3 linked regions of the Elephas maximus indicus genome follow. The protein of the gene in region 1 binds, or shares a complex with, the protein of each later gene. Links are inferred from orthologs where the notes say so. Each region holds a gene or a part of one and is shown in the gene's direction. Other genes may lie near its edges.

The links.
Region 2: NUP205 (region 1) and NUP188 share a complex: the UniProt entries of both Homo sapiens proteins name them as parts of the nuclear pore complex. The link is inferred for Elephas maximus indicus from reciprocal best matches to the Homo sapiens genes NUP205 and NUP188.
Region 3: NUP205 (region 1) and NUP93 share a complex: the UniProt entries of both Homo sapiens proteins name them as parts of the nuclear pore complex. The link is inferred for Elephas maximus indicus from reciprocal best matches to the Homo sapiens genes NUP205 and NUP93.

Annotation. Positions count from the first base shown.
Region 1 is NC_064826.1:14,292,986-14,300,959, reverse strand, and holds the start of NUP205 (nuclear pore complex protein Nup205), read left to right. Parts: upstream 1-4,885; 5' UTR 4,886-4,947; coding exon 4,948-4,975; intron 4,976-7,974. UniProt on the Homo sapiens protein: Plays a role in the nuclear pore complex (NPC) assembly and/or maintenance. May anchor NUP62 and other nucleoporins, but not NUP153 and TPR, to the NPC.
Region 2 is NC_064827.1:79,928,674-79,936,076, forward strand, and holds the start of NUP188 (nucleoporin NUP188), read left to right. Parts: upstream 1-4,383; 5' UTR 4,384-4,430; coding exon 4,431-4,462; intron 4,463-7,403. Other genes in the region: PHYHD1 (phytanoyl-CoA dioxygenase domain-containing protein 1), read left to right, coding at 15-60; DOLK (dolichol kinase), read right to left, coding at 2,399-4,015. UniProt on the Homo sapiens protein: Component of the nuclear pore complex (NPC), a complex required for the trafficking across the nuclear envelope. Required for proper protein transport into the nucleus.
Region 3 is NC_064839.1:23,667,263-23,674,807, forward strand, and holds the start of NUP93 (nuclear pore complex protein Nup93), read left to right. Parts: upstream 1-4,505; 5' UTR 4,506-4,646; intron 4,647-7,545. UniProt on the Homo sapiens protein: Plays a role in the nuclear pore complex (NPC) assembly and/or maintenance. May anchor nucleoporins, but not NUP153 and TPR, to the NPC. During renal development, regulates podocyte migration and proliferation through SMAD4 signaling.

The DNA of each region.
Region 1 (7,974 bases):
TGTTAACTGTTTTTACTGCAGAAAGGAATAGATGCAGAATGTAGAACAAATTCTGTTATAATCATATTTCTATTAGTATTTTCAGCACTAGTGGTACTAGTACAACAATTTGTACCTGTTAAACTCTAGCGTTCAATGGAAGAAGTTCTTCTGATTCATTGTGTTATAAAGAGGAAGTTAATTTTCAAATTGCCTTTGGAGATTCACAAATCCTTTTTATCTTCTGTGAGCTGTCGTTTTTTGTGCTTCACTTAGTTGTTGCCGTTTCATTTTACTTGGATATAAAATTATGTCACTTTTTAAATTTGGTTCAACTGTGGCAATAAATTCGAAAAATTGAACATAAAATTTATAAAACAAGGGAAACTTATAAGACAAAATTTACATTAGAATTTGGATGTTAACACAAAAATCTATATTTGAAAATTAGTAAGTTAAAAAAAATTTGATTTGGAACATGCAATTTTGTTCTGCAGGTCTGAGACAATTAAAAAAATAGAACTTACAAGGCAGTCAGAAATAATTTCATTAATTTATTGTATGATGCTTGTTGATGGGCCCTACACAGATCTCCATGAGTGTTTTTCATCCTGAAATAATACTTAAACACTTGTGCACTCACTTTTCATCCTTCGATACTGCATCTTCACAGATCATTGGACTACTGCTGATACTCAAGGGGTGTGAGAGCAATTTCAAAGAGCATGATACAAATACAAGGGTTTGCTGAATGTGCAGATACATTTTGGTTCAATTTGCGCAGGACAGGACTAGTATGTCACAAGTTACATGATTATAGTCGCAATGATGCGTTCTTTTGTGTTTGGTGAGCAACAACTGAATGTGAGGTCATACCTGATAGGTCCGAAATGAAAAGGAAAATATAATTGTTATCGTATACAACATTTATAAAATATGCATTTTATTTCTTTGTGGAATCGTTCAACTCCCATATTTGGAGATACATACACACATAACTGATGTAACGATAACAGCACTTCTCGAAAAGCAAGTTTGTTTTGTGAGTCATAACAATGTCAATCGACTTCTGAAAGGAAATGGAAAATAAAATACACTTATATAATTTTTATTATCTAACGTTTCATTTAATTTATTTCCTTGAGGAATTGTTCAATTTCCTTACACAGAGATACATAAATATTCTGATAAAATATAATGTTCTGATAAATGTCCTTTGTTGCTTTCTTGGAGGATGAATTTATAAACAGACTCATTGTTGCAAAACAGAAACATATTATGCATGATAAATATTGAATTTTGCATAATCTTAACTTGCCTGATACTGTGTTCATTAGCACATATACAGCAATATCAAGCACTGTGTTCACACAACAGACAATAAAAAACAAAACTCACTTGACACATAAATTAAAACTTTCCCTGTTAGATAAATATTATTATTTCTAGTATTTTTGGATGTTTGCTATGTTAGTATTACATTAAATTATTGCCCATTAGTATTATATTAAATGTATGCTAAACTGTGTCTGCCTTTATGCCAAACATATTTTAAAGTTATAAATGTTATTGTTTACATTACTTAGGACATAATTCAGTATGTAAATGCTAGACAGTTAAAAAGTAACTTGATTGGATTCATTGCAGTAGTTGACTTATTTGAGTTCCCTCACTTTTGCGAGTCATCTGGGACTGGAGTTCCCATTGGCTGTTTACCAGGACGTGCACAAGACCGTATCCTTGTGTTTGCATCATGGCCAAAATCATTGTCTCCTGGCTGGAGTTGCTGGATCAGCAGATATGGACGGGTGTGACTGGATCTGAGACTTGTTATCTATTAATATAATCCATCCTTGCCCAGTAACCACTCTTGTTGGATCAAGCTGCATATTGGATGAATGTAGCAAGAGTTAGACTTGACGGCCCACCCCACCTCTTATTTATTCGGAAGAAACAGTATACTCACAAGAGACTCACTGAGACAAGGAATTTCGATTACACAGGAAGGGACCGTAGGAGACAGATGTCAACAAAGATGTTGAAGTGGTAGGGGCCTCATAGCTTAAACAACCCTATGTATAGGCACTGTCGTGACCTTGTGTGAACTTTATTTCTGGTTGGCACATTCTCACGCACTGGAATGAGTATCAGTTTCGTTTAGTGCCTTGCCAGTTCTCTTCCTCTGTGGTGCTTGCTTTTCCTTGTGTCTTGTCTTCTTGGCATCTATGGGTCTTTGCTTTGGACAACTGGTGCCCCTGTTTTGTTGACACTCTAAGCACGTGCTTACCTTGGTTATTGGGTAATCCACCCCTGGCTGCAGCGAAGGACTCAGACGTGCTGGCAATGGTAAGGATGATGCAGGACCAGGCAACATTTCATTCTGTTGTATATGAGGTTGCCTTGAGTCGGAGTCAACTCGACAGCAGCTATCTGTCTATTTTAAGATCTGAAAGAGCTTCGTGTATGCAGTTAAATCTCAATTAGGGCAATGAGAGAAGTTATGAATAATCTAAAACCATTGGGAGTGCAAGATTATAGCCTTCTGTCTCTTGGAATGGATCAATTGGACTGTGGCACAGTGCAGCCCCTCGTTGCAGATTAATCACAAATTGTTTAATTGTAGAGCACTCCCAAGGCCTCAGTGCACTCTAACAGCCTGGTTAAACTAGCCCTAAGTAATTGACTACACCTCCATTTCGCACTTATTTTACCATATATATATATATATATATATATATATATATATTGCTGTCAAGTCAATTCCCACTCATAGTCAAGTCAATTCCCACTCATAGCGACCCCACAGGGCAGATTAGACATAGCTTATCCTTATTTAACAAATGCTCATATAGCCTATGTGTCAGGCACATTCTAAGCACTTTACAAATAAGCCTCTCAACAACCCAAGGGCGTAAGTACTATTGTCATCGTCATCCTCTTTGAAAGGTGAGGAAACTGAGGCACTGAGGATTGTTTCACAGCCAAGTGATTGAAACAGGATTTGAACCCCAGAAGCCTGGCTCTAGGGTCTGGTTTCTTAACACTATTCTACATGGCCCCTCTCTTTCTCTCCCAGTAAGTAGATTATGGAGGCGCCAGGAGAGAGGCCCAGACTAGAGATACAAGTACGGATTTATCAGCCAACAGGTAGTACTAAGAAGCCATAGGATCTCCCAGAGAAAGCATGTAGAACAGAGACCAAGGGAGGGACCATGAGGGGAGAGCTACATTTAATGGGTGAAAAAAGGAAGAGCAGCCCATGCAGGAAACGTAAAAGGAAAACTAGAAAGAGGAAAACCTGGACGTGTGATGCTCCACAAGCCAAGACCAGAAAAAACGTTTCTAAGACATTCAGAAAAGTGCACGTGGGATTTGACAGTTGGTCACAGGTGACTTTACTGGGAGCAGTTTTAGAGGGGTGGTGATGGGGGCAATATCCTGATTGCTATGGGTTGAGGCATCCCATGAGAGAACTTGAGTCAGTGTGGTGATGGGTGAGCGTGAGCTGCAGGAAGTTAAATCATTCCTTCACGGAAAGCAAAGCCATCGACCAAGAGGGAAGTATGTGGGCTTAAAGAGTGTGTGTGGGAGGAAGGCTTGTAAGAGTTGTGCTGAGAAAGAAAATCTTGTTTGGACTCTGCTTCCTTCCAAGTTCCCGATCAATTTTCTTCTCACCTTCATGGAGAACTTCATGAAAAATCCCTTCATTCTCTCTTCCTCTCTCTTCCCCTTCATTCCTGAGAATCACTTTCATTGTAGCCTGGCATTTGCCTCTATACTGAAATGGCTTTCAAAAAAACCACCAGTAACTTTTGTGTTTCACCTAGTGTACATTGGACCAGTCTCACTCAATATTATTTGTTCAAAAGAATGAATATACTCAATATTCTCAACAGTATACTCTATGGTTTTATCTGCATTATTTAATTCTAATTCTGACAGTGAACTGGGAATGCAAACCCTATTTCCTCTCAACCTCAGTGAAATATTGGAGTTGATAAAGTGAGACTGTAAGACACATGGAGCATCTTTGAGATAAGCAGCTATAATTTTATCATCCCTCTTATAGGGTTGTGGCAGGAATTAAATGATATAATGCATATACGATTTTTAATATATGCCTGGCATAAGTTGTAATGATTTTTATATTTTAGTTTGATGCAAGTGAATAAACAGGGCCCAGCTATTCTGATGCTTAGGTAAAAAATACTTGGTGTTTCTGAAATATGTCAGGAATTTGCTGCGGAGAGGGGAGAATTGGCCAAGTTTTTGACGTTGGAGGCTCGTTATTTTTATTTTGTATATGTTCAAAACTTTCATAATAAAAAGTTATGATTTGTTTCCCTTTGATTTCTTTCACTCTCTGTAATGTTGACGCAACATGCAAGGAAGAGTTAGTTTTAAATTAAGAGAATTATTTTGAATGCACGGCTTTTATAATATCATAAACAGGCGACATTTTAATAACTAGTCTCAGGATGTCTTTGTCCAGCGTTACGGAGCCCTGGTGGTGCAGTGGTTAAGAGCTTGCCTGCGAACCTAAAGGTCCGCAGTTCCAATCCACCTGAATCCACCAGCCACTCCTAGGAAACCTTATGGGGCAGTTCTACTCTGTCCTATAGGGTCGCTGTGAGTCGGAATCGCCTGGAAAGGAACGGGTATAAACAAATTTCACTTATCACCAGGAAGAAACTACATGTCCCAGGATGCCTAGAGGCTCAAAGTAAGACAGAGGGCCTCGCGTCTCCGAACTGGTTGCCCTCGCCTTACCTGAATGGGATTAATCCCGGTGGAGATTGACGTTTGTGACCCAAAGCAGATTCTCGAGTCTTTCGCCCGCCCAGGCCGACCGAGCGCGCCGTTCGGAGGGGACAGCGTGGAGCTTTTCTGTTCAGGCGCCGCTGCGGGCAGCCTCACCCCGTCGGGGTCCTCCGTGCGGCCCGAGGGCTCCGTTAGTACGCCTCCAAGATGGCGACCCCGTTGGCGGTAAATTCGGGTGAGTGCGGCCAGGGCAGGAGGGAAAGGCCGGGCAGGGCAGGGCGGAGATCGGTTCTTCAGGGAGGAGCTCGGGCTGTGAGGTTCCTCCGAGGCCAGGCCCCCACGCGTGCTCGGTATCCGCCTTTTTCTAGCTTTGGGCCTAGGGTCCCGCTCCTCTCAGGTTTGAATGGCACGCGTTGGCGCGGCGGCTCTGGCCCTTGGGTCGGCGTCCCAGGGCCGAGGCAGTGAGGCTTAGTCCCCTGCAACCGGATGTGCAGTCTCTCCCAGCCCGGGGCCGAGTCTGGTTCCTGCTCCCCCTACCCTATTAGGTATCCTCGGCCCGGGTTTCGCCAAGATAGGCGTCAAATCTCCGGCAGTGAGCCCAAAGGACCTGAGAGATTTTTCAGCCACGAGCGGAAGCTGAAAAACTCGAACCCCAAATCCGTAGGGAGGCACCGGAGCCGCTGACAGGGGAGTCCTATAGGCAGTGAGGACCCTTGATTATGCAGTCTGCGATCCGGAAAGTGGCCGGGCTTGGGTTGCCGCGGGCTTGGCTGATGACTCCCAGCTCTGCGGGCGTGGCCCGGCTCTGGATGCTCCTGTACCTTTGGGGCAGTAGATCTTCGGGGTGGAACAGAATTTAGAAGGTGGCAAAGGAACTCTAAAGAGCACTAGTGACGCAGTGGTTAAAGCGACCGACTGCTAACTGAAAGGACGGCAGTTCGAAACCACCAGCCACTCCGCAGGAGGAAAGTGTGGCAGTCTGAGTCGGAGTGTACTCGGTGGCAGTGGGATTGGAAAGGAGTGCCGGAAGATTTGGGGTGGGGCTTCTTTTGGTGTTTTTCCACCCAGGGCGGTACCTCCCCCAAGGACGTTTCATATTGGGTGCATTTTTGATTGTCACAATTCCTGGGGTGCGATACTGGCGCTTAGTGGGCGGGGCAAGGATGTCAGAAGTCCTGTATGGGCGGGGCTGTCCTGAAAACGTAGGATTTCCCGCTGGGAATGTCAGTAATGCCCCGGTTGAGACGCACTTAGCTTCTTGGTCACAATTAAGAGAATACCTGTGCGATAAATCTTTGTAGAGAATCTCACTCAAGAGCACTCCTTCGTGGGAGCCTTTTGCCTCTAATTATGCAGTGCCTTTTTGGGGGGGAGGAGTGCAGGTTCTACTTTTCACAGAACGGGTACTCCTGAAAAATTGTCTAAATTTGAGTTTTATAAACCAAACCACTTAAAAACACTATGATAAATTATTTTATAATAACGATGGTTTATATTTATTGAGCACCTGTGTCCCAGGCACTGGACTGACTGCTGTACTTGTATTATCTCGTTTAATTCCTCTGAGGCGCCTATGGAGTGGTGGCTTTTAAATACCTCGCTTTACAGACTTGAAAACAGAGGCTTCGAGAGGTTTAGTGACTTCCCCAGGATTTATACAGCTTAGGGGCTTAAATTACTGCACCCCGCCCTCAAAAAAAACCAAACAAACCATTGCCATCCAGTCAATTCCAACTGATAGCAACCCTATAGGACAAAGTAGAACCGTCCCCTAGGGTATCCAAGGAGAGCCTGGTGGATTCGAACTGCCGACCTTTTGGTTAGCAGCTGCAGCACTTAACCACTACGTCGCCATGGTTTCCAAACTATTGCACGCTACTATTTAATCACAACCCAATTCATTTTATTACATCAAATTTTCATATATTTAAATTTTAATAATGAGGTTACGTCCTTAATGTTGCTGTCACGTTTCCTACCAGGTATAAACTTAAAAGCAAGGCTTGTATACTGTGTGTGTGTGGTTATATATATTTCCTTAGTACTTATTCATCCTGAGTTACTATCATTAAACACTGAAGCAGAAAGGAAAAGCAGTTGTCAACAGTTGCAAAGTGTTTATTGTACTTTGTATAATAAAGCCTGTGGCAGAGCTTTTAATTGGCTATGTAGAAAAGAAACATTTTTTTAAAATCTAAGAATCAGGAGAATTTTTTTTTTTTTTTTACAATTGTAGAAGGGGAAAAAATAGATTGTAGAGTCCTAAGACCTGTGTTTGAACTTCACCTGCATGACTTACTAGTTGTTGTTAGTAAGCAACCATTAACAGTACTTGACAGTGCTTCCAGTAATCTGGTCACCTCTGCCCCATTCACAGCAGTGACAGTTTCAGACCTTTTTCACACTCCTCAAATCTTTAACCTCCAGCTGATACCTCAGCCTCAGCCACCTAGTCACAGAGAACATGAGAAGCCAACAGGCACAACCTCTCTTTTTTCACCCTTTGTCACACATACAAACCTAGATATCTCTGTACCCTTTCCAAGCAGTTTCCTCCCCTCCTCCTATTTAAGGCAATATCCCCCTTTTTTGTTATTTTAATTAGTTTTTATTGTCTTTTAAGTGAAAGGTTACAAATCAGGTCAGTCTCTCATGCAAAAATTTACATACACCTTGCTATACACTCCGAATTGCTCTCTCCCTAATGAGATAGCACAGCCCTTCCCTTCACTCTCTCCTGTGACCATTCGGGCAGCTTCTGGCCTCCTCTGCCCTCTCATTTCCCCTCCAGACAGGAGATGCCAACATAGTCTCATGTGTCTACTTGATCCAAGGAGCTTGTTCTTCACCAGTATCATTTTCCATCCCATATTCCAGTCCAATCACCGTCTGAAGAGTTGGCTTTGAGAATGGTTCTTGTCTTGGGCTAACAGAAGGTCTGGGGACTATGGCCTCCAGGGTCCTTCTAGGGCCAGTCTGACCATTAAGTCTAGTCTTTTTACAAGAATTTGGGGTCTGCATCCCACTGTTCTCCTGCTCCCTCAGGGGTTCTCTGTTGTGTTCCCTGTCAGGGCAGTCATTGGTTGTGGCCGGGCACCATCTAGTTCTTCTGGTCTCAGGCTGATGTAAATTCCACTCTTTATGCCCTGCTCCCTGTCTGTTATCCTTCTCTCTCTTGTATATTTACCTCTCTCGCCACTTTCTTCTTCACCGGCCTCTCTATCTTATCTCATG
Region 2 (7,403 bases), on another chromosome or scaffold:
TTTGTGCTCTGCAGGCTCCAGCCAACAGCTGAGCTGCCCTTTCCACCACTGTACACCTGATGGCCCTCAGCAGGACTGGGGCACTGCCCCTCCCAGGGGAGGCTGCAAACAGTGACAGCATGCCAGGCTGCCTCTCCTGACCTCCCGGCTGCAATGGCGAAGTCGATTCTTTCCTGGGCTTTCCTCTGCTAGTGTCTGTTCCCTGAGCCCAGCAGGCAGCAGGCAAGAGGTGAGGGTGGCAGGAGCAGCAGGGGCTAGATGTGAGGCGTCCCCAAGATCTTGTCTCCCTGCCCTCTCCCTGCCCCAACATATCCTCCTCCTCGAGGTGGCCTCTCAGCATGAAAGTGCTCTGGCCACCTCTCTGCTGGCTTATCTTCTGTCCTCTGAGGTGCAACTCTGATTTGTACTGTATGAGACACTAAATAAAAACAACTTCCAAATGCGGATTCTTGGTCCTTTTCTCCCAGTCAGCCCTGATCTCAAGATGAGCTTGGGAATGAATGTTTGGCAGGTACCCAGACCCTCTGTGGGCACAACTTCCAAATCCAAATCCTGCTTAGCTGGAAGGTCCCTGCAGACTTAGGTCTGGCCCAGAGGTCACACACTGGGGCCACAGGACGAAGCCACTGCAGATGTGTTTTGCTTGGACTTCAGTGTTTTAAAAATGCTTTTAAAAATTGGGAAATTTCACATAAAAATCCAGGCTTTTAAGCTTTTTTGATGAGCAGAAGGTGATAACACAGGACCCACATACTAACATGGCTACCACTGGCTGGAGCTGCCTCTTTAGAGGTATGTGTGCTTTTGGGTCCGGCACGGTTCCCACTTTCCCATCCTCATTCATGTCTGTTACCTGGCTGACATTGGTGAGCAAGTTTGTGACCCTGATTTAGTGTAGCCCCCCACTCTATACATGGACCAACCAAGGCCAGAGGAAAAAGCCCTCTCCCAAGACCACCCAGGGAATCAGTGGGGCAAAGCTGATGCTGCCTCCATTTGGCAGGCAGTAGAAGGGAGCCTGAAGGAAGGGACAGATTTGTTAAGTCTCCTTTGTGCCCTAAAGGAATGTCTTGGTACCCTCCTCTGAGGGAAAGGACTTGGCAGTGATTCTCAGGCAGAAGTGCAAGCTCCCCCAGAGCTGGTCCTGGCTCTGCTCCTGGCTTCTGGCCTTGTTGGACCAAAGTTCTCATCTCTTTGTGCTAGGCCTTTCCCTACCAGATTGGACGTTCAGCCTCATGAAATGTGCTGTGCTATCTTCCTGCTGATAGGAAACTTTTATCCATTCAGCGAATGCCGACCAAGTTCCTGCTTACGTGCCAGGCTCTCTGCGTGGGACACAAGGCTGCGGTGTAGGCTCCTTGCTCGGGCAGAGTTCCAGAGTAGAGCCATTCTGAACTCCCAGGAAACTCCTCCAGCCCCTCTGAACCTGTCCTAACCAGAACCCAGTGCTGTCGAGTCAATTCCGGCTCATAGCGAGCCTATAGGACAGAGTAGAACTGCCCCATAAGGCTTTAATATGCTGCCAAGGGAAGAGACAAAGACAGGTTTGATGTGACTGGAGTGTGAGAGGGTCTCAGGAGGGACCCCTTGACAAGATCCTGTGCTGTCCAGCTCAGCAGCACCACTCGGCCAGGCCGCAGAGGCCTTGGAGGGCGGGGGTGGGGGAGGAGGTTGGCTGAAACAAAATATCAGTGCAGGACCTGATCCTCTTCTTCATACACACAACAAGCTGACCCTACCTCCCCCCTTCAGTTCTTCCTACCCCAAATGAAACAGGGAAGTAAAAGTAAAGATCGCTCGGGTCTCCAAGTACAACTGATAAAGCCCCCTTGGCTCGCATGGCTTTTTTGCTACGATGAACCTGGTCTCAGGTTATAATGACACTTTCCCGCACTGATTGCTCATCGTGCCCTGGACTGGACACTTTACATATCTCATCTCACTGGATCCTCACAACACCCCCATGAGATATGCGCTGTTAATTCTCATCTTGCAGACAGGAGAACTGAGTCCACACAGTTAAGTGCCACAACCAAGGATTCTAACCAGATTAGTCTGACACCAGAACCTGAAGCATTAACCCCTATGCTCTACTTCCTCCCTCCAGTGTCCACTCCTGCCCCTTCTGAGGACTGCTAGGTGTGTGTGTGTGGAGGGAGGGGGTCTGCAGCACACTCGAATTCTTTGAGCTGCTGCACTATTCTTTGTTTTTTTTTTTTTTTTAACATTAGCAAAACTAAAACCAAGAAAGCTTTGATTTTTATTTTAAATTTGAACCACCCAAAAGTCCAATCTTCTTTTCACCCCTTGGCTCTTCATACCCAAGTGGCTGGCTGCTGTGGGGGCCATTCACACTCCCCATGTTCCTGTCTCCTCCATCACTACTGCTGCACAACAACTAGGCCATCAGCAATATCAGGAGGTAGAGAGGCAAAAGGAGATTGTCTATCTGTGTGGTGTACGCTTCTAGGAGGGACACAGTACTGATGGACCCCAAAATCCAAGCATAATTGTAGTTTAGGTCCACTTCACTGTCAAAGATTAAGATCAGAGCTACAGAAATGATCTGGGCAAATATAGACGTCATGGTCCCCTCGAAAGTCTTTTTAGTTCCAGGCCAGTGGATCTCTCCCATGGCGCTGCCAAAGACAGAGGCCACAGTATCGCCTACACCCACAGCCAGGACGCCAGCGTAAGGGACTAGGGCCCTTGCTCCCCCGAAGCTACCCTTCTGTGTACAGGGTCTGGGGACCAGCCAAATGGGAAGAGACACGCCCAGGAGCAGGTAGATGTGGGTCAGGATGAGTGGTCCACTGTCTCGTTCATCCAGGAAGAGGGACAGGAGGTTCCGCAGAGTGTGGCCCAGGGGCTTGATGCGGAAGTAGCGCACATACTCCAAGAAGATGAAGACTGCCAGGCATACAGTGGCGGCCACATAGAGCAGTGGCCGGTCAAAGATGATACCTGGGATGTAGGTGGCTACCACAATGAAGTGGAAATACTTCCGGGCGATGGTGGGGGCCTGGTGCTTCTTGGATTCAGAAGATGACCGCTTTGCATTCTGGTACAGCACTACCAGGCAGGCCAAGGTGGCCAGCAGAGACCAATAGGCTAGGAGGTAGATGCGGGTATCTGTTTGGAAGAGGAAATGAAGGAGCCAGAGCAAGGGATTCCTGCGGATGAGTCGATGCAGCCAGGGCAGGACCACACCAAGGCCCAGCACGCAGGTCATGAGGTGGAAGAAGATGGAGGAGGCCCAGGTGCCTGAGTCCATGAAGGCAAAGAGGGTGCTGAAGAGGATACCCATGAGCACCATCCCTACCACCACTACCAACAAGAAGAAGTCCACTGGGTCCCCCTGGTTTTCCACCACTGTCAGAGAGCGCTTGATAAGCTGGTTGAGCACAAAGCTGATGCCACCTAATACCAGCACTGCCTCTCCAGGGGTGAAGCAGCGGGGCAGCAGGTACAGCAGGATCATGTTGAGGTACACGAAGATTAGCAGGACCTCTAGGACCTCAATCACCTCACCCACACTAAGCGAGTGCTTCATGATGTAAATGATGCCACCTCCAGCCAAGCCCGAGATGACGCAAGTGTTGGTGGGCACGGGGCGAGTGATGCCCAGCGCCAACACTGACGAGAAGAGGGCCACTGCCATGCCAGTGGCTGCTACGACGATACCAAAACGTTCAAAGTGTGGGTTCCCTGCAGCCTGGCAGCGTTCCTTCATGACCAGTCCGAGCAAAGGCATGACCATGGAGGCAGGCAGTAGTCCACTGTTGGCAGACATTCGGAACTGGAAGACGGCGCCTCCTTGCTGGAGCAGCCGGTCCCACTTGTATTGGACGTAGAAGGCCTGCACTGCGAGGGCCACAGCGCACCACGAGTATCGGTCCCACACGGTTACGTGAATGCTCAGCACCATGGCGAACACCACTGCCGCCTCTGCCAGGACCGAACCGCTCAGCGGAGCTCCCGCCCCCGGGGTCGGAGGAGCGCTATCTCGGGTCATGTCTCCAGGCTTGAGGCCCCCGGAAAGCCGGGGTGACTAGGGACGCCTTGGACTCTTGGTCCCTCAGCACCGCCAAGCAAAGGACAACGGTTTCACCCAGCCAGTAACCTTCTCCCTCCGTTTTCCAGTTGTAAGGACAGAACTCCACTGCAGGTCACTCTCTGCGGCCTGAAAGCTGGAGTCCCGTCACTCTCCACCGCCTCCAATTTACGGAGTAGACACCGTCTCTCGGCCGCCTTCCTCACGACCGCGGACACCCTGGCCGCTGGTTCTCCGCTTCCCCGGGTATCGCCATCTTGGCCCCGCCCCGTACCGGACTCACGTGACGGAAGCTCCGCCCCACGCGTCAGGTACCAGGCGAGCGGTCACGTGGGCGCCGCGTCTGGGGGCGGGGCTGGGGCGCGCGCGCGGGAAGATGGCGGCGGCCGCCGGCGAGCCGTGTGTGAGGTGCGGAGCGGGCCAAGTTGTCGGGGTTGGCTGTGAGGCGCGGGCTCGAAACTAAGCAGAAGCGGGGCGGGAATTGGGAGCGGGATGTGGCGGCGGTGGCGGTGCGAAGCCCGGCTGGGTAGACGGCGCCGAGACGGGAAGCGGTTACGTGCAAACGGTCCCCGCGCGCGGGGAGCTGAAGGGACTTCTCCAAGCGGAGGGCCGGTTCCTCACCTTATCCCTCAGTTCTGGGCTTCCCGTCTCCTCACCCAAGTCCTTTTCTCTTCTTCCCCTCTTCCCGTCCGTGTGTCCTTTGGAGCCCCACTAGCGCTTCCTCGTCTGGCTGTGACGCTACCTCGAGGCGCAACGGGCGCTTTGCGGTCGCCTGGAGGACCCTCTCCTTCCCTCCCCCTCCCCCCACGTCCCCGCCGCAGCCCCCCGGTGACCTGTCCCGGGCCTTCCCTGCCTCTCAGGTTCTCCTCATGTGCTCTCTTGTTGCACAGAGCCACCTCCTTGTAGTTTTTGTCCTCATTCTCCGCTCAGCCTTTCATCCACCCATCTATTCATTATTTTACTCATTGATTCGGTCAGCCGATGTGTTCAAATCTCCCAAGAGATTTCAGGCACTGTTCTAGGCTTTGGGAGCAAGAAGACGAAACGCTAAAAAGAATAATACAGTTTTCAATATAGAGGGTTTGCTCTTGCCAGACACTGGTGAGATCCTTTTGAATTCTCACAGCTCTTGTGAGGTACCCTTTACAGATGAGTCAGAAGTCCCGCTCTGCTAGCTAAGGGGTAAAGTGAGGGAGGATTCAAATCCGAGTCTGTTCGACTCCAGAACTGTAATGAAACCTTCACACCCCTGTCTTCCACATTCCACCTTGAAGAGGTTTCGTCCATTCTACTCCCTCCCACCTTCCCTAGTCAAAGTAGTTATGGCGCTTATATTCCCAGTGCCAACAATGTTTTCCCCACTTTTTTGTCGTATTCCCCACTGTATCCTCCGTACCCAGGAATAGCATGTAATTAAAAAAAAAAAAAGCCATTAGTATTTATTACAAATATTGTCCGTTTTCTCTGGCATCACTTTAATTTCCCAGCTGAAAGTGAGATTTTTCTCCTCTGGAATTTTCCCTGGACTACCTCTGTACCTTGTGAGGACCAGTTTGCTTTTTTCTCCTCTGTCGTTTCATGCCAACCATTGTATCAGGACAGCATTGTAGCCACTGTGCCCTCCTTTTCTTAGGGTTGTTTCATAGTCGTTATGGCTCCTGTAGAATAAAGCATGTTCCTTAATGAAAAGGAACATTAGGAAAGCATTGGTTTGCCTGAAAGATGACTTGTTCATGCTGGGGAACCTACCAAACTCATCCTAAGGAGGAAGAAAGGGCATTAGAGTTCTTAGGCACTGCTTTGCTCATGGCTTGTATCAGGAGAGTGATTTTTTTGTGTGTGTGTGCCAAAAGTCACATTCAGTAGCAGATGGAATTATACTGAGCAGCAGTCCTCTGTCTGAAATGCCTGTAGGTCTGGACTAAGAGAAAACTTAATTCTCTTCCTGATGCCTCAGATTTGCAGATGACTGCAGACAAGCGACCTCACCATTTTGAACCTGTCTCTCCAAATGCAGATCATTTCCAGAGTAGTATTGAAGTGGCTGTGAGGCTTTTTTTTTTTTTTGTAGGAAAAGTCATTGTGAATGTTAATACAAGCTGGCATTAGTTTAAAAAAAAAAAAAAAAAAGGAATACTACCCTTAAATCAATCTTTTGGAAAGGTCACTCAGGAATTGGCAGAAAGTTTGAATATTGGCACTTTTCTTGTAACTCCTGCGTTCTTCAGTTAAAGTGTTTGAATTAGTCTGAATGGTGTAGGTGTGCTAAACAAAAATAGAACTGCAATTTGGAAAGCTTTTGCTGCTGAGCTTAAATCTCAGTTCACACAAGAGAGGTATACTTCCTCTGTGAAGTTAGAGCGTCCACGGGCAGTGGTAGCTTTTATTTATTAAATATCTCATCAAGGTAGCTTGGCTGTGTCCCAGCTTTCTATCCAAAGGACTGAATTGTAGAAACAGTTATTTCTAACTCCCAGTAGCCTTCACTCATAGCTTTCCAATGAGATGGATGACTAAAGAAGATAATTTTCAGGCTCCATTAACTTCAGCTCTTGTAGGAATGACGTTCCATGTTTGCTGGAACACTGGACTGGAAATAGTGAAGTTTTTAAAACTTTACCTTTGAATTTGAGGCAAATTATTTAATCTGTGCCTTAGTGTCTCCCCCACATACTTCGCTGAAAGGAGTATTATGCATGTAAATGAGAGACATTAGCACATAGTTTCTTGGAAATATATATAGAAGCTATTTCCCCGAGTCTTGGGTGGGCTTCACAGTTCTAAGTTTCAGTCAAGCCTTTAGGTCCCAATTTGAGATGAAGCCTTTTGTCAATCACTGAATCAGTCCCCAGCAATCCCTCTCTCTTCTGACTTTTCTGTTCTATGTGGTTAAGTTTCTTTGTATTAGTTGTTAGTATCATGCCGTTTAGTACTTTCTTCCTTTTTGCCGATTGTGTAATGTGTATTTAATATCCTTTGCCGTTCTCATCCCTTAAGCTTAGCATCATAAAGGTCTTAGATTTATTTGTATCCCCATTATTCCTAGGCCAGTGAGTATGTAGGTATTGAGGAAACCAGTTAGACTTACTTCCATAGATTTTGTTCCTGATAACTCTACCATTTTCTCCTTTATTCTCCCTTCTGTTGGTACTTCTGCATATATTGTTTTTCTTGATTTTTCTGTTCCAGTTAGATTGCAAGCCTAAAAGGGACCCATATCATTCCCTTTCTTTGATGTTTATTCTTTCAAATATCTGTGCCAGCTACTACGTTAAGGGTATGGTCCGCTATTGTAGAACACCTCAGTTGACATCTTTGCTTGCTGGCAGCATGAATTCTTGGGTGCATC
Region 3 (7,545 bases), on another chromosome or scaffold:
GGCCTGGTAACAGATGGTTCCATTGAAAGACAGCAATTGAAAATGGAGGGTAATTTGAACCAATCAAGAAGATGGGGTCTCTTGGAGGCAAAGTTTCTACAGAAACTGAAACCATATCCCTGAAGCTCCATTGGTACATTTTTCACTCACATCTGAGCTTTCCTGGGGGTGGATCCAACTTTCTTCAACATCTGGAATATTGAAAAGGAGGAGAGAGAAGCCCTGGAGCCTTGTCAATCAAATTCCTTTCTCGTTTGGCAAATTCAGCCTCAGTGACAAATTGCACAATTTGACGTAAATGAAGTTGATAGATGTTGGCAAAGCTGTTTTTAAACAGCAGCAATGGAAAGATGTGTAGGATTTTTTTTTACTCAACAGTATGTTTAATAACAAATGAAATAACCAGATGTTTAAAAAACCCACCACCTTCACAATGTCATCTGATAGCCGGCTGCTGCTGATTAATGAGGGCGTGGGATTCGTTCCGGTCCCAGTTCAGAAAGTTGGCACTAAAATTCCCTTAAGGACTTCGTTGGGTAGCTCCTCATTATAATTCATGTAGGGTTGGTTCTAAGTTCACCTCTGAGGCTCTCTTGGGCTAGAGAGACTGTCCCAGATGTCAGAAGACTTGAATGTGTAGGCTCAGGTCTGCCACTACTTCTTGCCTGTGTGACCTTGGGTAAGTCACGGAACCCCCCTAGATCTTAGGTTTCCCATGGGATAAATGATGATAATAAGCCCTGCCCTGCCTACCCCAAGATTGTTGCCAGGCTCAAACAGAATAACAGGCATGAATCACTTTTTAAGTTTAAGTTTGTTAATATTTTTATCGAGAAATAATTTCACCCAGTAAAATGCACAAACCTTAAGTGTACAGCTAAATAAAACTTCACATATAAAATATATATATATATATATATGCACACACCTGTGTTGCCATCCAGATCAAGATACAGACTATTTCTGGCAACCCAGACAGTTCCCTTGAGCTCTTTCCCAGTCATACCTACTCCTGAGGAACAATTATCCTCACCTCTATCACCACAGATCAGCTATGCCTGCTCTTGAACTAGGTCCCTGAATAGCCAGACGCTTTGCGCTCAACTACTAACCGAAAGGTTGGTGATTTGAACTCACTCAGTGGTGCTGCAAAAGAAAGTCCTGGATATCTGCTTCTGTCAAGATTACAGCCCAGAAAACCCTATGGATCAGTCCTATCTGCAACACATGGGGTCACCACGAATTGGAGTCAACTCGACGGCGACTGGTTTAGTGTTCAAGAGAAAGCTTATTTGCCATTTCTGATAATGTCAAGTCGCCTTTTGTGCAGCTGAAATTAAACCCATCTGAAAGCATAGTTAGAAGCTTCCCTTTGAAGCTTCTCATGATTTTTAAAGGACATTGCTCATCACTCAGCCACTGACCACAAAGCTTTAGGTAATTTGTTGCCACCCACTAAGAACTTCACCTCTGGCAGCGCAGTCAAGATAGGGAGGCAATCAGTGGAGCTTGATTCTGTTACTTAAAAGAAATATTTCTTGCTTTCCTTCCCTGTGACACGTGCTGGGTATTGTGGGGGACTACCACAGTAGTTCAATGAGGTTCAAAACTACAGACAGTAGGGGGAGGGACAGTGATGTGAATTTTGAGTAGTAAAAAATGTAATATTCCACAGTAAAGGGGACGTTTTACATTATTTTTAACTTTTTATTGTAATATAATGAATAATATATACGTAGTAAAGTGCACAAAATCTTAAACGTGCAGCTTAGTGAATTTTAAAAAAAATTGGCACTTGGCTTCCAGATAAGAAATAACACATTAACAGACCTCGGATTCCTTCATTCTTCTTTCCAGTCTATAGCTCCTTCCTTCCCCCTTCAAAATAACCACTATTCTGACATCTGTCACCATAGATTAGTTTGGCCTGACTTGAACTTTATATAAATGGAGTTATACTTTTGTGTCTGGCTACTTTTGCTATGAGTTGGAATCGACTCCACGGCACTGGTTTTTTTTTTTTTTTTTACTTTTGCTTACCAGTATGTCCGTGAGGTTCCTTTAAGTTGCTTTTTGTGGATGTAGTTCATTCTTTTTCTTACTGCATTTGTTACATGACCACAGCATAATTTGCATGTCCGCTCTTCTGTTAAGGGACATTTAGGTTGTACTTTCAGCCTAGTACAAATTATGGTGCCATGAATGTTGTTATACATGACTTCCGGTGAGAATATGCACACATTTATGCTGGAGATAGACAGATATGTACATAGAATTGTTGTTTTGTAGAGTATGTACATGTAAAGGAGCCCTGGTGGTACAATGGTTAAGTGCTTGGGTGCAAACTGTAAGCTGCAGCGGTTTCAACCCATTGTGAGGCTCCATGGGAGAAAGACTCGGAGATCTGCTTCTGTAAAGATTACAGCCTAGAAAACCCTATGGGTCACTACGAGTAGAAAATTGACTCAGTGGCACCCCAAAACAACAGAGCATATATATTTAGCTTTAATAGATGGAGCCATTTTCCAAGGTGGGTGTACCCACTGACAAGCCCTCAGCAGTACCTGATGGTTTCTGTTGCTCCACGTGCCGCCTCCGTGACTGGTGTTGTCAATTTTAAAATGTAGCCATTTTCTCACCATCATTAGTTTTCAGGGAAATAAAAAATTTAAACTGCACTGAGATACCCTACACACCTATTAGGATGGCTCAAAAATAAAAACTCCAAAACAAACTAACAATATCAAGTGTTAGCGAAGATGTAGAGCAACTGGAGCTCACCTTGCTGGTGGGAATGCAAACTGGTGCAACCACTTTAGAAAATAATTTGACAGTTTTTAATAAAGTTAAACACATATTTACCACAAACATCAAAATAACCAAACCTGTTGCCGTCAAGTCAATTCCAACTCATAGTGACCCTATAGAACAGAGCAGAGCTGCCACATAGGGTTTCCAAGGAGCAGCTGGTGGATTTGAACTGCCAAACTTTTGGTTAGCAGCTGAACGCTTAATCAGGGCACCATATGACCCAGAAATTCCACTGCTAGATACTTATCTAAGAGACATGGAAATATACATTCGTACAAAAACTTGTACAAAAATGTTCATAGAAGCTTATTCATAATAGCCATAAACTGGAAATAACTCAGACATCTATCAATAAAAACAAAATAACCAAACCCATTGCCATCGAGTAGATTCCGACTCATAGATGAATGGATAAATAATACACGGTGTATCTATACAATGAATACTACTTGGTAATAAAAAGGAATTAGTGATACAGGTATCAACTGAGCTAAAGAAGCCAGACACAAAAGATATGGTATGATTCTATTTACATGAAATTCTAGAACAGGCAAAACTAATGATAGAAAGCAAATCAGTGGTTTCCCAGGTTTTTTTTGGGGGGGGGGTTGGAAATGAGATTGACTGCAAAGGGATCTGAGGAAATTTTTTAGGATGATGAAAATGTTTTATATCTTGGCGCAATGGCTACAAAGACACATTTGTTCAAATGAATCTAAGTGTGCTCTTAAAACAGGTGCATTTTATTGTAAATTACACTTCATGAAAAAATGTAATAGAGTTGGTTAAAGGGCAATAACAGATGAGAATAAGTGTGGCTGTGCCCATTCTATAGAGAGCACCTGTATAGCTATGTCAAAGGATGAGTACTTCCTCCTGTTGTGGCTGGACGGTGACATCTGAGCTGACCCTCTGCCTGATGGGCTCAAAAAAAAAAGGCTCAAAGCAGAGGAGAATTTCAGAAAGGCCTCTCCAGCCACGGGACGGATGGGTTGGAGCAACGAAAAGACTTAGACTTCCCATTGCATGAAGAAGAAATTGAACTTTTTTTGCCATGGTGGAAAGGACCTGCAAGTCTGGCCCAGCCTACTGTGAGTCTTACCCCATCTGCCTTCAGTCACCGTTTTCCAGCCATACACCCCTTTCTATTCCTCAAACGCCAAGCTTGTTCCCCCTCCGAGCCTTCACTCTTGTCCCTCTGCTTGAAATGCTGCAGCCAAGACTGTGCAAGGCTGACCCTTTGTCATCATTCATGCTTCGCCTCAAATGTCACCTCCTCAGAGAGGCCTTCCTTGGCCATCCAGGCACTCTCTCCGGTCGCTCTTCTTTCTTCATAGTCCTTCTGACAATGTTCAGTCATTTATTATTTATTTACTTATATTATGTTTCCCTCACCAGCCTGAGAGCTCCACTAGGGCAGGGGTTTTGTCTGTCGTGGTCGTCGCTGTGTCTCCAGCGCCTAGAATAGTCCCTGGTACTTGGATGGCGCTTAATAAGGGGCGAGAAATCCGCGCAGGCCAATTGTGGAATCGCGTTCTCCCAGCAGAGCGGATTCTAACCACGTGGGAGGGTAAGGGCGGTGGCCGCGGGTGTGTCGGGAGTGACAGCGCAGCCTCAGACCCCGCCCAAGGCCCCGCCCCATCCCCGCCCCCGGCCCCACCCATGTTCCTGTCCTTCTCCGCGGGTCTCCATAAAGTTCCTTCGGTGGCGCGCCTCGCAGGGGTTTCTGGGAGCGTCCAGCCTCGGCCAATCAGGAAGCGCAGGTGAGCGGCGCGAGAAGCGGCGGCCGCGCTCTCAAACCCGGACCTGAGCGGGGGAGACGGCTACGGCGCCAGGTAAGGTCGCTTCTGTGCACGTCCTTCCGACCTGGGGCTTGTCCTTGAACCCCGGATTTTGCGCCTGGGCGGAGCTCCGTCCCCACGCTCGGAGCTGTGCCGTTCACACTTCCCGTTCTCCTCGTGGCAGCCAGGCACGCCTGACGCTGGTGACATAACGCCCTGTCGAACCGCCCCCCATTATAGCGTAGGGTTGCGCCCCTGGAATGCCTTTTATTTGCCCTCTTCTTGAGTACAGAGCCTTAGCCTCCTGATCTCCCTCTCCCCCGTTATAGCAGTCGCCGCGGCGCACCACGCCCCCACCCCTTGCCCTACGGGCCCACCCTTGGCTGGATCGGCGCCCCCTTCCCACTGCAACATCCTTCCTGATTCCTCCACTGACCGAGCCCTGCCGGCTCGCTGGCTCCCCGGGGATACACCCTCTTGGGAAGCATTGCCTTCTGAAGGAAGGAGCCTTTGGGTAGGGGGGAGACCACCCTGTAAGCCTCTCCCATCCCTTGCCCTTCCTTCTGAACAGACGTTCAGGGGGATGTTTCTCCCCATTCGGGGAATTGCTTATGATTGGAATTCGGGGGTGATCCATCCTTTTTCTGGGCTTACAGCATCCCATCTTCTGCAGAGGCGATGCCTGAGTTTTACTGGATTCCTTTTAAAAAATTATGGGGCCGACGCCAGGGGTCTTTAGTCAAAGTTTGAAGGATACCTTGACAGAGCCGATTGGTTCGGATTTGCCCTTCAGCCAGGTGTAGGAAGGAGGTTTTGTTTTTTGTTTGTTTTGGCCAAGGTCTTTCCGCACAAGCAAGGGTCACCTTTTGTATTCTGTCTTCTAATACTGACCGCAGACCAGATTTGGGGGGAGAGGTTTTTCAGGCTTGTAGCTTTTCTTCTTTGTTTCTTTCCACCATTCTTCTTTGTGCTTTTGTGTTTGTGATGCTTTCATCTTTCACTCATGGTGAACTCATCCAGACTTATACCTTTAAATACCTATATATTAAGCTAACAGCTCGGATTTATACCTCCAGCCTGGGCCTCTCCCAGGCCTTTATCTAGCTGCCTGCTTGATGTCTACTGAAATGGATGATGGGGAGCTCAAACTGAATCTGCCAAAATGGCGCTCGAAAGCTCCCCTCCATCTCCCTCTCCAGATTGCTCCTCTTGCTCTTTTTATCTCAGTGAAATAAAAGCCAAGTGCATCCTTTAGCTGCTCTGGCCAATACCCTTAGAGTCATCTTTGATTGCTCTTCTGTCTCACTCTATGTCCAATGCCTGCCATCCTGGGCTAAGTCACTGCCACCTGTCACCTGGATTATTGGAATAGCCTCCCAACTGGTCTCCCTGCTTCTACCCTGGCCTCCATTTTCAGCACAGCGGCAAGAGGGATCCTTGTAAAGCAGGCCAGATCATATCACTTCTCTACTCAAAAAACCCTTGAATAGGTCCCCATTTCATTAATAATAAAACACAGACTCCTTACTGTGAGCCCTAAAGCTTTACACAGCCTGACCCACTGACAGTTTTCTGATCTCGTTTTCTTCTACCCTCCCCAACCCTTCCCTTACAGGAGTCAGACATGCTTTAGCCTCAGGGCCTTTGCACTTGCAGTTCAATATTCATGTGACTTGCTCACTTACTTCTTTTAGAACTTTACTGAAGGGTCGCCTAATGAGGCTTTTCCCACTTCCTGTCTTCCTTAACTGCTTTAGTTTTTCTTCTTAGGAGTTATATTTTACATATTTATTGTGTGTATTGTTTGTCTTCCCCCTCTAGAATGTGAGCTCCTGGAGGGAAGGGATTTTTATCTGTTTTTTTCCCTTACATATCCCAAGCACCTAGGCCTGGCACACAGTAGATGCTTAGTAAATATGGAAGAAATGACTGTGCTTGGCACTGTTATAGGCTTGGGGATACAGTGGTGAATGAGACAGACCTGCTGTCATTGAGCGGATGGTCCTAGAGAGGCCACTGACAAAAAAAACACAAATATAGAATGTGGTGTCGGGCATTTTATAAATGAGGACAGATTATTTGAATAGGGACCTGCCTGAAATGAGAGTGCAAGTCATAGGAATATCTAGGGCAAGAGCATTCCTGGCAGGGGGAACAGCAAAATCAAAGACCCTGAGGTGGGAACAAGTTGGGGATGTGAAGAACTTGAATATCTGAATCTGCGTCCTGATAGGCTGAGGCAGAAAATAAGGTAGAGGGAAAGAGAGATGTGCTGGGGGTGGGGGGGCAGGGTGTGTTCAGGAAACAGGTCACTTTTAATTCTGCAGACATTTATTTGGTGCCTGTTAGTTGCCAAGCTTATCAACTGCTGAGGATTTAGAGTTGAGCAGTCCATGGACCTTACCCTACAGGAATTCGCCACCCAGTGAGGGAGACAGAAGTAATCACAACTACTTCACTAGGGAGGAGCAGCGATAGAAAATGCAGAATAGTGTGGGAGGGGGCTGGGATGAGCGGGGCTGCCCCAGCTGGCTTTACAGGACACATAGCCTCCTTATGTGGACAGGGTGGGGATGGCACTGTGAGTGTGCACCTGGCATGGGGACAGAGGAAACAGCATGAGGAACTCCAAGAAATAGAGAGTTCCTGGAGTGTAGAGTTGGGGGAGGGCAATAATAGGTGAATATGATAAGGGTGGCAGTGTCTGTTCTATGGAGGGCACCCTGAATAGCTATGGCAGAGGGTGAGTACTTCCTCCTGTAGTGGATGGAAGGTATTTCCTGGGGAGTATTTCAGAAAACTCTCTCTGGCCATGGGGAGGATGAATTGGAGGAACGAGAAGACCTAGACTGTTGAGGTGATCCAGGAGAAGAGCGAGAGGATCAGTGTAGGGGCGAAAGAGATAAGGGTTGGCTTTGCAAAAGGTTTGGGTGGTAGACCTGGGGATTGGCTG